2 linked regions of the Caenorhabditis elegans genome follow. The protein of the gene in region 1 purifies or fractionates together with the protein of each later gene. This does not show direct contact. Each region holds a gene or a part of one and is shown on either strand. Other genes may lie near its edges.

Region 1 (5,954 bases):
TATGGAGACCAAAGTAAATGCCACAATTTTTGCATAAATTTCCATTGTGAACTTTTGGTTTTTTTAAGGAAGTGGGGAAAAAATCTAGGAAAACAACAAATTCCTAATGAAAATTCTGAAAAAATTGGTTTTCTATTTGGAAAAATGACAATTCAAGTGAATTTCAGAATTTTTTAGATTGATCTGAAAATCAAATAATTTTTTTTTCAAAAAAAAAACCATAAAACTTAGGTTTTTTTTTCTTAGGTAGAATAATTATAATTCAATTAATTGCAATTTTTCAAGCAAAAAATTCCAAAAATCATTCTTAAAAATTCGGTATTACTTGGACGCAAAGGGTTTCGGTTTTCGCCCGAAAATACGGTATCCGGTCTCGACGCGACAAATTTTTGTTAACTGCAAAAGGGTGTGCGCCTTTAAGGAGTACTGTAATTTGAAATTTTTAGTGCTGCGGGATTTCATACTTTTTTTATAAAATATACTTTTTTTTTATTGACAAACTCTGAGAAAATCATTACAAATTAAGGAAAATTCAACAAATTTGAAATTACAGTACTCTTTCAAGGTGCACGCTTTCTTGCATTTCTCAAAAAAAATTTCGTGTCGAGACCTGGTACCGTATTTTTTGTGCAAAATTGTAAAATTGGGATAAAAGGCACACAACTTTTATGGTAGAAAAACATATTACCAAAAACTACTTTCTTCCAAAATTTTTAACATCTTTTTATCTAAAAAAAAAACCAAAAAAAATCTAGCTGCATAACTGAACGATGCACCATAAAATAAATACTCACAAAATGAGCACATAGCCTTGTGTCTTGCTCGAACCCCATTTAAATTATTTACGAGCTTTTTGAACAATTTTTTTGGTTTTTTTTTGTAGTAAAGCCAGAAAAGGCCGAGATTTAGAGATCAGAAGAAGCATGCTACATACACAAATTTCCAGTTGACCGATTTAGTGAAAAATGAGTAAGGAGAGGGGGAAGAAATCAATGAGGAAGGAGCATCTTGTGTGCTCATGGGTCCATCGTTCTCACTTCTTTTACTAAAAGACCACATTCGGTTTGATTAGCTTTCTCTGTGCTTCTGCACATCCTCTCTCCTAACTCTCTATCTCTTCCCATTCATTCCATTTTCGAGAGAGAGGCAAAGAGAGGTCAGGTCAACCAACCCCCCCTCCCCCCCCCCCCCCCTTCAGTAGCAAACGCGCTCGATCGTACGGCCCGCGAGCAGTCGCGTGCATCTCCGCGCCCTCTTCCACTCGACACACTATCTCGTCGTGTTTGATCTGCAGGTTTTCGGGGGTACGGTAACACTGCAGCCCCTATTGACTGCCGGCCTCTATGGGGGACAGAAAAATGGAGAAGAAGAGAGATAGAGAGCGGCGGAGACAGTAGAGAAAATGGTTGAGGGAGAGGAGAGGGTACGTGAGAGAGAGAGAGTGAGTAGGAAATACACACACAGCATTGTTCGATTTCTCGTCGTCGTCTCTCATTTCTCCGCTGCTTTCTTCGATTTTCGAACACCACGACCGCACTGAATTTTTCGGATTCTGATCTGATCATCATCTCAGCCCATCATGTGACTGTGTTTTTTTTTGTGAATCAGCTTCATCATCAACATCGTGTTCTAGACACGCTTCTTCGACTTCAGATGTTTTCTCAATTGATCTACCCCTCCCCGTCCCGTCTAAACCGCATGCGAAACTGGTGACCAAAATCGATTTTCTTTCAGATTTATGAGTAGAACGTAGCCATCTCTCCGCATAGGATTTACCATAAGCGCAGTGCTTATGAATTCTGGTGAGTTTTGATTTTTGAAGGTTTCAGATATCTGGGTCTCGCCGCGAAGATCTTAATTCTGGATGAAAAAGCTCTCCTGTTGATGGACCCTGCCAGTGAACCAAAATTCATATTTGAACCTCTTTCCTATTACCGAGACGGTTTTTCGTCAAAAAATACGGCTCCCGGTCTCGACACGACAAATTTTCCCTAAATGCAAAAGGCTATGCGCCTTTAAAGAGAACTGTAATTTCAAGCTTTTGTTGCTGCAAGATTTTCATCGATTTTTCATAGTTTTCAAACAAAAATATATTTGTTTATTCTAAAAACTCAATTTGGAAACAATCGGTTGAAAAAATAATAAAAATCGATGAGAATTCTGCAACAACACAAGTTTTCAACTACAATACTTCTTAAAGGCGCACACACCTTTTCGCGTTAAAAACATTTCCGGGTCGAGTTTTGGTGTGGTGCAAAAATTTGAGCCTGGGGAATAATTCCGTCTTATTTCCGTGAGAAATCCTTCGAAAATTAACGTTTTTGTCGAAAAAAACCGTGAATATCAAAGTGTGTTCGTGGCGAGACCCATCCGAATAAATCCATGCGGAAAATCGATTAATTCGAATTATCGATCGCATGAAAATAATTTTAAATTCAGAAAGAAAACTTTAAATTAAAATTAACCAAAGCCTATTTTCAGTCGGTGGAGTAGCTACCGAACGACGATTGCCTCAAACGCAGCAATTTCTTTCGCATTCCAACTTTCACTCCAACGCAACAATTATTGACGAGTCCCAGTTTCCATCACTGGGCGCGAAAGGTAAATTCACTGATTTTTTTTTATTAGCTTGAGAATATTCTTAAATCTATGAAAAACTCACTGTCGAACTCTCATTCTTATTGTTAAATGGAAAAAAATTAAAATTAAAATATTAAATTTGACCTGCTTGTGTGGAAGTCCACGGAAATGTTTTCCTTGAATCTTTCATCCTTTTTATCAATATTTAAAAAAAATTAGAACAATTATTTCATTTCTCAAGGCATTTCATCGATTTCTATTCAGGAACGTCCTCACTCGGCGGCGGCGGATTCTCCCCAATCCCAACAACGAGCGGAGGTGTTTTGAACGTTGCCCAGTCATCGCCGTCGAGAGATCTTTACGGCGCACAAAGACCCAATTATGGTAAATTTTACTTTTTTCTCTTTCTGTGTGATGAAAAGCATGAAGTATCAAAAATTAAAAAAAAAAGTACGATAGCTGGTTGTGAACCGCGAATATATATTTTTTTTTAAATCAATTTTTGTTTGCTCTTTGAAAATGCGCGCGCGCGAAATTCTGATTGAACATTTTAAAAATTACAATGCGTGTTTCATTCTGTTTTGAACGCAATTGTGCAATTTTTCGATGTTGGCAACTTCTTTCCGTGAGTTTTTAGGCAAAACGCAAATTTTCTGATAAAATTTACTCATTTTTACTGCAAAATTCCGATGAATTCGAGAAAAAACCGCCGAATTCTTTTGGAAAATTTTATTTTTTATTTAAGAAAAATCAATATTGAATGTGTGCAAAAGTCCGTGACGGTGGTTGCGTATTCCATGATCGACCGTACCCCGCAGAGATTTTTCGTTCAGAATTTCCATAAAAATTCTCCGAATTTTCGCAGTTTTTGTCGTGTTCCTGTGTTGTTAAACCATGCAAAAATTAATTTTCAGCTAACCTGATGAGATCGGACCCCAGTCTAACAAATCCCGAGTTCCAAATACAGAACGAGGATTTTCCCGCGCTTCCCGGCGTCGGTTCTGGTCAAACACAGCGATCAATGCTTGGAGATCAACTGGCTAACGTACTTAAATTTAATTTAATGTCAACAAAATTTCTGCGTCGATGACAATCAAATAATCGATAAATTATTGCAGATGTTAGCAGACGACCATCAAGTCGACTTTGCTGGACCCCTAGGCGATTGTGACCCCTCGCGGCTCAGCGGGATATCAAGAAATAGTCAAGAAGGACCTATGCATGGGATTATTACTCATCCTGATGGTGGGAATACTTTAAAAATAAGCATTTAAAATAATAATTGTTAATTTCAGGCGAAGTGACAAACATTCCAGCGTCAATGCTTGACGATCAGTTTGGGATGGCGGGTTTGGTGACATATCTTCGGACAGTTGACAATCCTTCCATTGTTTCACTGGCGTTAGGTTATGATCTTACGACGTTGGGCTTGAATTTGAATTTGTCAGAGTGAGTAGTGGCCTGAAAAGCCCGAAAAGCCCAGAAAAACTCTAATTTCCCTCTGTTTCAGACGAAAATTGTACATGAACTTTGGTGGTCCGTGGGCCGATTCGCCGATTCGAGCACACGAGCTCGACGTGAAGGTGCCCGAGGAGTACATGACGCATAATCATATTCGAGACAAACTTCCACCGCTGCGATTGAATAAAGTTTCAGAAGACGTGTTATTCTATCTTTTTTACAACTGTCCAAACGAGATTTATCAGGTGGCGGCGGCGTGCGAATTGTAAGTAAAGTTTATTCCAAAAACCTGCATCGACCATGACCGCGAGCGGAGCGTCGTGTTTAAAAAATTTATTTTAGTTTTTTTTTTTCCCCGAGAATTTGTGATTTTCATGAATTTACATATGAAACGCATAAAAAATTGGCCAAAATGATAGAAAATCACTCGTTCTGGGCGAAAAACTTTCAAGAAAATCCGCTTTTTCGTTAAGATCGCATAATTGTTCATCATTTTAGTTGATTCTTATTTCGCCTCATATATAAATTTATGAAAAATCATGTGAATCACGCGTTCTTAGCGAAAAGTTAAAATAAAAATTATTGAGCCGCTCCGTTTGCAGTTACGTCGCGGTCGAAGTTCACGAATCAAATTATTAATAATTTTAAAATTTTAGCTAGAAAATTGAAAAAAACATATATTTTATGTTAGCAATTGAGAAAATCTTTTTTATCACGAAACAATCATTATATTTTCAAATTTTTTGCAGGTACGCTCGCGAATGGCGATTTCACAAAAGCGAACAGGTGTGGTTGACGCGTTCTCAGTACGGTGGAGTGAAAGAACAGACGGGAAATTATGAAAAAGGGCATTACAACGTGTTCGATCAGATGCAATGGCGAAAAATTCCGAAAGAGTTAAAGTTGGAGTACAAAGAGCTCGAGGATCGGCCGAAAATGCCGCAATCAGTTTCCGGACAACCGACACCCTACAAATACTTTTTCCAAGGACCACAATTTCCGAGCGGTCCGGAGACGGGTCTGATGCTTCAGATGCATAACTTGACGCTCGGCACAGGTGGCGGCGGTGGCGGACAAATCACTCCACCGGCACCAGCGGGTCTTAACGGAGTTATGGGTGGTGGTGGTGTTGGAGCAGCTGGAATCGGAGGAATCAATGTGCAACCGGGAGCCGTTCCATCGGCGGCGCGAGCTACTCCAAACTAAACAAGAAGAAGATGATCTCTCGTGTGCAAATTTTCTATATCCCACTTTCGTCATCTTGTTCTCGAATTGCTCCCTTTCTCTCTCATTTTCCATCTCTTTTTCCCCTCTTTCTCTCCACATTTTCTCTCCCAATCTCCCATTTTTTTCCTTCGTTTTCCTTATTTTTCCTCTTTTCTCTACGTTTTCGTATAAACGATTATCGATATACACAAGTTGCTCTTTGAAAACCTGTGATTTTTCAAAGAAAGAGCTTCACAATGACTGGCGGCGGCGGTTTTCTCTGTATTTTCAGTGGCGCAACACCGAACTGATAAGACGGGGAAAAAGGCTGAAAACAAGATGTTTGTCGATGACAAACTCGCCTACAAGGGGGTTCTGATATCGTTCCGTGATAGCAACACAGTTTCATTCGATACTATTATTGTTTGTCATGTCGTCGTTGGCTGAAATCGCGTCGAGACCCGAAAACTTGGAGCTTCTTGCTGAAGGAAAAACCAAGCAAATCTTTGATATTAAAGGAGAAAAGGTTGGTTTTTTTCACTGAAAATTCAAAAAATTTGGGAAAACATTAATTTTCTACTAATTTTTTAATGCTTTATAGATTAAAATTTAGATATTTTAAAAGCGCCTTTTGAAATCGTGATGCAAACGCGCTCCGCGAGTAATCTGACAAGCTCCGCCCCAAAACGTTGGGTCTCGTTGGGAAC
Region 2 (6,515 bases), on another chromosome or scaffold:
AAAAAGAAAAACATTTTTCTCGTTATTCAAAAGTTTCTCTTCATGTTTTCTTCTCCGTGTGAAAAACAGTATAGATTTCTCATTCCCAATTCTCTTCCACCTCACCGGGTCACGTGAACTTGATGCGAAGGAAAACAAACCCTCAACTGTCTAGCACTCACAGTTTCTGGTTCCCGAGCGGTGGCGGCACACAAGGTCGAAAAAATTCAGTCACCAAAAATTGATAGCCTCGGCTGTTTTGGCGTGTCAAATTAATGAACACTGTCTTAAGAATTTCAACATAATGTTTCATCTTTTTCCTTTTTAGATTTATCATCTCCTGTTTGAATTTAAATATTTCACAAAGTACAAAAAGTTACGATATAGCCAACTTTTCATAACAGAGAAAAACCACTGTAATGTCAAATTTTCAGAAAATTGGTGAATTTCTGTTAAATATCCTTAGTATCCTCAATTAACAAGTTCCTAATCAATTTCTCTCCGAATCTATTTCCAACCAAAAAGTGTTTCAAGTTTGGCATGTCGCCCGTCCCGCTGTTCATCCCGTCCATCTTCGCTCGTGTGTCCCGTCCATCCCACATATCGAAAATATATTGGTAGTGTGTGTATGTGTGTGTGTGTGTAGAACTGGCCACACAGACGTATATACTGTTAGATACGGGGAGAACCACCAGAGATGAAGAGAAATGGTGGTGAGTGGTCGAGCGCACGTCGATGAGTGTCTATGAGTGCGGTGGTGAGCGCATGAGCGCGTGAGTGTGCGGCGGTGCGGTTTCTCCGTCTCTACACGACATGAAACCCTCTCAGTTGACCCTACGTTCCTTCTTCTCTCTGCACACACACACACATACACACAGCGGTCTCATTGATTCGTGAAAGAAAAAGAGAGAGCGAGAGTGCGGGAGGGTGGTCTGATGAGTGAAGCGTGAGCGGACAGACTCACGGGGGTTAGTAGTAGTGAAGCGAGGAAAAAGTGGAAAGACGGGGAGTTTCCGCTGCGTCTCTCGCCCGGCAAGCAATTTGATGTTGGCCTCTCACTATGAGATGGAGAGAGACAGACAGGGAGAGAAACGCGCAATGTCGTCGCCGGTCGCCTTCTCGCCCTCGATCGGGGTAGCCAGCAGCAGCAGCAGCAGCAGCAGCAGCAGCCCAGCCAACCAGCCTGCGAAGCACCAGACCCCTCTTCTAACTAGTCTCTCTCCTTCTTCTGCTTTTTCCTTCTCCTTTCTCTCTTTCCTGCTTTTTCCTTAACCCCTTGTCCGCCTAGTTCCCACCTAGCCAGCAGCGCCCCGGGGGCTTTTGGGGCCTTTCTTTACAACAGTAGTTATGTAGGTTGTACAAAACTTATTAAATTTTTTAATGTTTACCTTTTTACAGGAGAACGCTTTTTACACTGAACTTGTTTCTATCTAGCAGTATTGCATTAATTAATAGTTTATGCTTTCTAACTTTGACAATGATCTTGTAAAACATAATTTTGCTCAATACTGTTTGAATGGCTTTAGATCATTTTTTATAAAATTTCTATTAAGCTGATACTCCTGGTCCGTAAAATTTTCAATTGCCTTCATGAAATCCTGCTCGTTACGCGGCTAATGTTGTTCGACCAATGTACCCATGTCGAAATCAAATAGTGTTATCAATCAGTCTATCAGTTTCTTTGTTTTCTCTTGTCATCTATCATTTACCATCACGCTCTCGCCAAAACTCATCAATCAATAATATTCCATTTTTTACAGATAAGCTCAAACTCTGATCGCCAGAGCGCGATCAACGCAACCATGGAGAGTCTCGCAAAAAACTTCAACAACATTTCAATAGACGACGCAGCGTGGCATCCTAACGACCAACAGCCTGTATGGGGAAACAACGGTCTCCAGCAGCAACGTGTCTGGGCTCCGCCGGTACCGCAGCCACAGTTCCCAAACAGATCGCCATGGCAACAGGAATCGAACGATATCGGTAATTGGCAATTGTAATCTTGATGACGTAAAAATTGTTTCAGAGCCAAATGTCAACGAAGCCCTTGTTGGACTCAGTGGCACAGGCTCATCAAGTCAAAGCCAATGGGGTGGCATTCAGAATACAGATTATGAGAAACAGATATGGGGTGATCCACCATTGAGCGATGTGCAGTATCCACTTCAACCACATGCCTGTAAGTTCAAATTTGATTAGACGTTATATTTATAAATTTAAATCTATAAATTTTCAGCGTTCGGTGAATTGAATAGTCTTGGAGGTCAATCTGCGCCTTGGTCCATAGGGTCTCAGCCAGCGCACCCGGTTTGGAGTAACGGAGGAATGGGAAAAGAATCTGATGACTTTTGGAAACAGCAACAGCCTCAACAGCATCAGCAATACCCGATGCCATTGCTGCAGGGAGCCTGGAATACAGGCATGAGACATGGACCACCAGGACAAGGACAACGTAGTGGGCCAATGATGCAGCAGCAGCAAGACTACCAAGGGGGATGGGGTGGCCCGAATAACATGGGTGGCAACAAGCAGATGAACCGTCCATGGGGGCAGGACAGCAATCGTGGAATGTCAGGCATGCCGCCCCGAAACGGTCGTCCAAACCACAACCAGGGACGGTACTCTGGCAATATGGGTGGCGGTGTTGACGTTTCAGTTCCACCACCGATGGATATGCACATGGGAGGTGGTATGGGTGGAATGAGAAATATGGGTGTTGCTCCGAATAGTGGACACGGATCATGGAAGAATAACAATGCTGGTGGAGGTCAAGGAGGCCACGGCGGTCAAAGAAACTACAACAACCGTGGTGGAATGGGACACAGTGGAAGCCAGAGTGGCGGAGGATCCAATATGTGGAACAGCACCGGAAACAATGGAAGTGGTGGAAGCATGCAGCAGTTCATGGGAGGAGACCAGCAGTACAACAATCCATTCCCAATCGGCGGAGCTGCTGATGATCTCACACTGACTGTTTGGCATGATCCAAACGGAGAACTCAAGAAATGGCAGAGAGATACTGGAGTGTCCTATTGGGGAGACCCGGAGAAGCAAAGTGAGTTTTTTAAAAAAATATTTCCTTGGTGGGAATTGAATGAAATTCTCCATTGTTTCATGAAAAACTGAAATTAGTCTAAATGTGTTGCTATAGAAATCACCTATTATCGACTATTTTTGCAGCTGACCGTACCATTAGCTTGTGGATTGTTGGCGAAGGTGCCGATGAGGATTTGGAAACTGCATTGAACCGATGTCCAGTACCACAGAAAAAGGTAATATTGTTGTCTTAGGTATTAAATTGAACTTCATGTCTCAGGGAGAGGACAATCAACGTTTCCCATTCCCAGTACCAGCGAAACGGCCAATTGTTGTGACCGGATGGGGAGAGCTTCCAGAAAATGATCCAAACAATCCGTCCAAGAGCGAGTCGACGATATTCGACGAGAACAACAGATGGAACGACTTGACAACTGAGCAAAATCCATGGTATCTTCCGAATCAGCACACTTCAACATTCTCCAGTGACAACACCACTGGATCGTGGGTGCAGGGAGGAACAATTCCACTCAATGAGCCCGGAACCAATCAACACGTGGCTGTGGCGGAGATGCTGAAGAACGCTGTCGACAAGGGATACCTGGACCAGAGCGTGACGATGATGGCCAACTTACCGCCAATGGTGCTGCAGTATGTCAATATGCTGCTCGTCAAAATTCCAGCGTTGGATAGTGTGGAGAATGAGCTGAAGCAGATAATTGAGAGTTCTCTGCCAGAAGATGTGAAAGAGGTTGATCCACAGAATCAACAAAAGTACATGAATGATAGTCAAAAGGTGAGGAAGATTGTCGAGTTTTCAGGTTGTTCAGGATAAAATTATGAAAAATTAAAATAGTAGAAGCCAAAATAATTATCATACTACAACCTATTATTATAGGAAACAAATGAAAGCTAGACATTTTGCTAGAAATTTAAAATATCAACCTTACCAGAAAACTAGCTTAGATCCTGCTTAAACCTAGATTTTAAATTGGGCGGCGGGATAGCTCAGTCGGTAGTGGTGGCCGCTAGCAAGCTGGAAGTCATGAGTTCAAGCCCCCTAGGTTTACCCAGCCTCTATTGAGAAGTGGAGCAATCAACGACTGGATTATCGGTCACGGTCCCCGGCTTGAACGTGGCTCAAATAATAGCCCGGTGGGAGCCCCACCAGACAGTGCACTACGGAACTGAATTCCAGATCCGCAGTGCATAACACCTGAAGTACGGATCGTCCTTTAATCCTTTAATATCAAACTTTTGAAAAATATTAGACGCATCGCTAAGGAGCTCAGATTACTTCAGTTCGATTGCTTGCAAAGATGAATAATATGAATACCAAACAAATCAATTTTCCAGCTTGAACACAATCGTCTCATCATCGAAGTGACGACAGCAAAGATTGAAGTTCAAGAATACTCGAAAAAAGTGAACCGTGCGCTGATGGACGCTGGAATTGTGCAACCGCAGGAGCAACGTGCGCCAGCCTCAACGGAGGACTATCACTACTCGTTCTTAGAATAGATTGTATCGCCCACCGATCTTCTCTCCCACACACGAACAATTATCATCATTACTTTTATTTTGTGTTTCGCACTGTAATCTGAATTTTAAGTTTGGAAATTTGAAATTCAAAGTTTCAGCCTTGTCATCATCATTTCCCATTAACTTGTCTCAGTGACCTTTGACATTTTCTTCAATACTTTTTTACTCTCCCCCTTTCTCTTTAATTTCGTGTGTGTGTGTGTCTGTTTCCTTACTTTATTGCCTCCGGATTTCTATTGTAAACGTGGTCTTGTGAATGTTCTCTCTATCTTGTCGTCTCCTTCCTTCTTTACTGCTGATCAGACGGGGAAAATTACACGTTTTTTGTATTTCACCTCTCGTTTTGCCATCTCCAGATAATCAATTTTTCTTGTTTAAGGGGAGGCTCTCGCCTTTCCCCCTCCCACTAAGAATAATTTGGTGGCTGGTGCTTGGTCTCACAGGGATTCCAGGTTTATGTCTGCCAGTTCATACCTTCTCTTCTCTCTCTCTCATAATAGGGGTCTTTGTTCCAACAATTTCCAACCACGCGTAAATCCATCTTACTTTCCCTTTTCCATAACATCCAAACCTCAAAATATAATAAAGTCCATATTAATCAAAATACTGTATTTCTTTTTTTAAATTGTATCCTTTCGAAAATATAATTCAGTTTTTGGGGCTATTTCCACTAAAACTGCACTTTCTGCAGAGCCTCTGCGAGCATTTTCACCCCACTACTCTTAATCCCCCACGTTCACTTTTCAATCAAGCTATTCCCATTTTTAATTTGAATCAAAATTTCTGTGTATGCTTTGCTTCCAAACGTCATTTGTAATCTGGGTCTTTTCTACGTCATTCTTTACAGTTTCAATGTGCTAATGTCTCCCGTCTCTTGTCTCTTTTTGCTCTCACCCTCACTCACTAAGTTCCAACCAAAAATTGTGATGAAATTATCCCTGAAAACTTGTCAAAATTGGTTCAATCAGCTACATGCGCACACTTTGAAAATCATACAAAAATAAATACAAGAAACGCCTTTCTAAACGATACATAAACTCGTCGTCCCGGCAGCATTTCCCTAGAAACCAGGTCAATTCCTAGTACGGCCCTTTTCCGAATTCTCGCTCTCAATTTCAAACAAAATGGTGTTCTCATTTCATTGTCTTCTTCTCCAAACTTACCGGACTTCAAATAAACTCATTATGTGCAGTACAGTTTCACAATTCGGGACCCTCTCTCTTCCAGAAATTTGTCAATTCCCCTCTCTCATTTCTCACTCCGGCTCTCAAAAATCTTGATTAAATCTCGCATGAACATGTAATAATCAAAACTGTTTTCTTATCTCTTACCATACTTTACTTGTAACACCCATGCCGTCCAACATCACCTTTGGTTCTATTCTCGTATAATAAAACGTTGTGAATTAAACTCTGGAATGTTCAATTTTAGGGAGCAGAAATGAAATAGCACTGTTTCTGTATTTATTTTAATATTTATTTCAAGTTTTAGGTTTGAGTGTATGATAGAAACACAATTAATATTTTGTATTCAAAATAGCCAATTTGTTCAGCAACCGCTTTTTGGTATCACCTGTGCAGCCAGAAACCATTTCTCGTAAAATAAAAGCTTGTCAAAAAGATTCTCCCCGGCCGGGAATTGAACCAGGGTCTCGCATGTGACAGACGCGGATACTCACCACTATACTACCGAGGACACATTTTTCAAAGAATTCGGAGGCTTTCAAAATCATTAATGTAAGTTGAAACCAGATTTACTCTGCAATTCTTACTTAAATTGTAGCATTTTGGCCGACTAATAGTATGTAAAATAAATATGAAAAAACAAACATAAAATAATTTGACAGTTGACCTTGTCGCATTAAAACCAAAAGTATACAAAATATAAGCTGCCAATGATGCATGAGCAAATGTATAGCCTGAAAAAATAAGTACTCAAGTTTGCCACTTACAGAATTT

Evidence for each region. Proteins that work in one complex are often made in the same cells at the same time.
Region 2: the proteins of ntl-2.1 (region 1) and ain-1 purify together in Caenorhabditis elegans (affinity purification with western blotting, with the first as the bait; one study listed by BioGRID). This does not show direct contact.

Annotation. Positions count from the first base shown.
Region 1 is NC_003280.10:4,372,239-4,378,192, reverse strand, and holds ntl-2.1 (NOT2/NOT3/NOT5 C-terminal domain-containing protein), read left to right. Parts: upstream 1-1,734; 5' UTR 1,735-1,792; coding exon 1,793-1,802; intron 1,803-2,481; coding exon 2,482-2,601; intron 2,602-2,844; coding exon 2,845-2,964; intron 2,965-3,151; exon of another isoform or gene 3,152-3,186; coding exon of another isoform or gene 3,187-3,205; intron 3,206-3,494; coding exon 3,495-3,625; exon of another isoform or gene 3,626-3,645; intron 3,646-3,698; coding exon 3,699-3,825; intron 3,826-3,875; coding exon 3,876-4,029; intron 4,030-4,090; coding exon 4,091-4,306; intron 4,307-4,790; coding exon 4,791-5,247; 3' UTR 5,248-5,452; downstream 5,453-5,954. Other genes in the region: paic-1 (Phosphoribosylaminoimidazole-succinocarboxamide synthase), read left to right, coding at 5,678-5,773.
Region 2 is NC_003284.9:16,611,712-16,618,226, forward strand, and holds ain-1 (ALG-1 INteracting protein), read left to right. Parts: upstream 1-1,739; 5' UTR 1,740-1,781; coding exon 1,782-1,962; intron 1,963-2,005; coding exon 2,006-2,158; intron 2,159-2,215; coding exon 2,216-3,034; intron 3,035-3,159; coding exon 3,160-3,251; intron 3,252-3,295; coding exon 3,296-3,811; intron 3,812-4,160; exon of another isoform or gene 4,161-4,309; intron 4,310-4,371; coding exon 4,372-4,536; 3' UTR 4,537-5,964; downstream 5,965-6,515.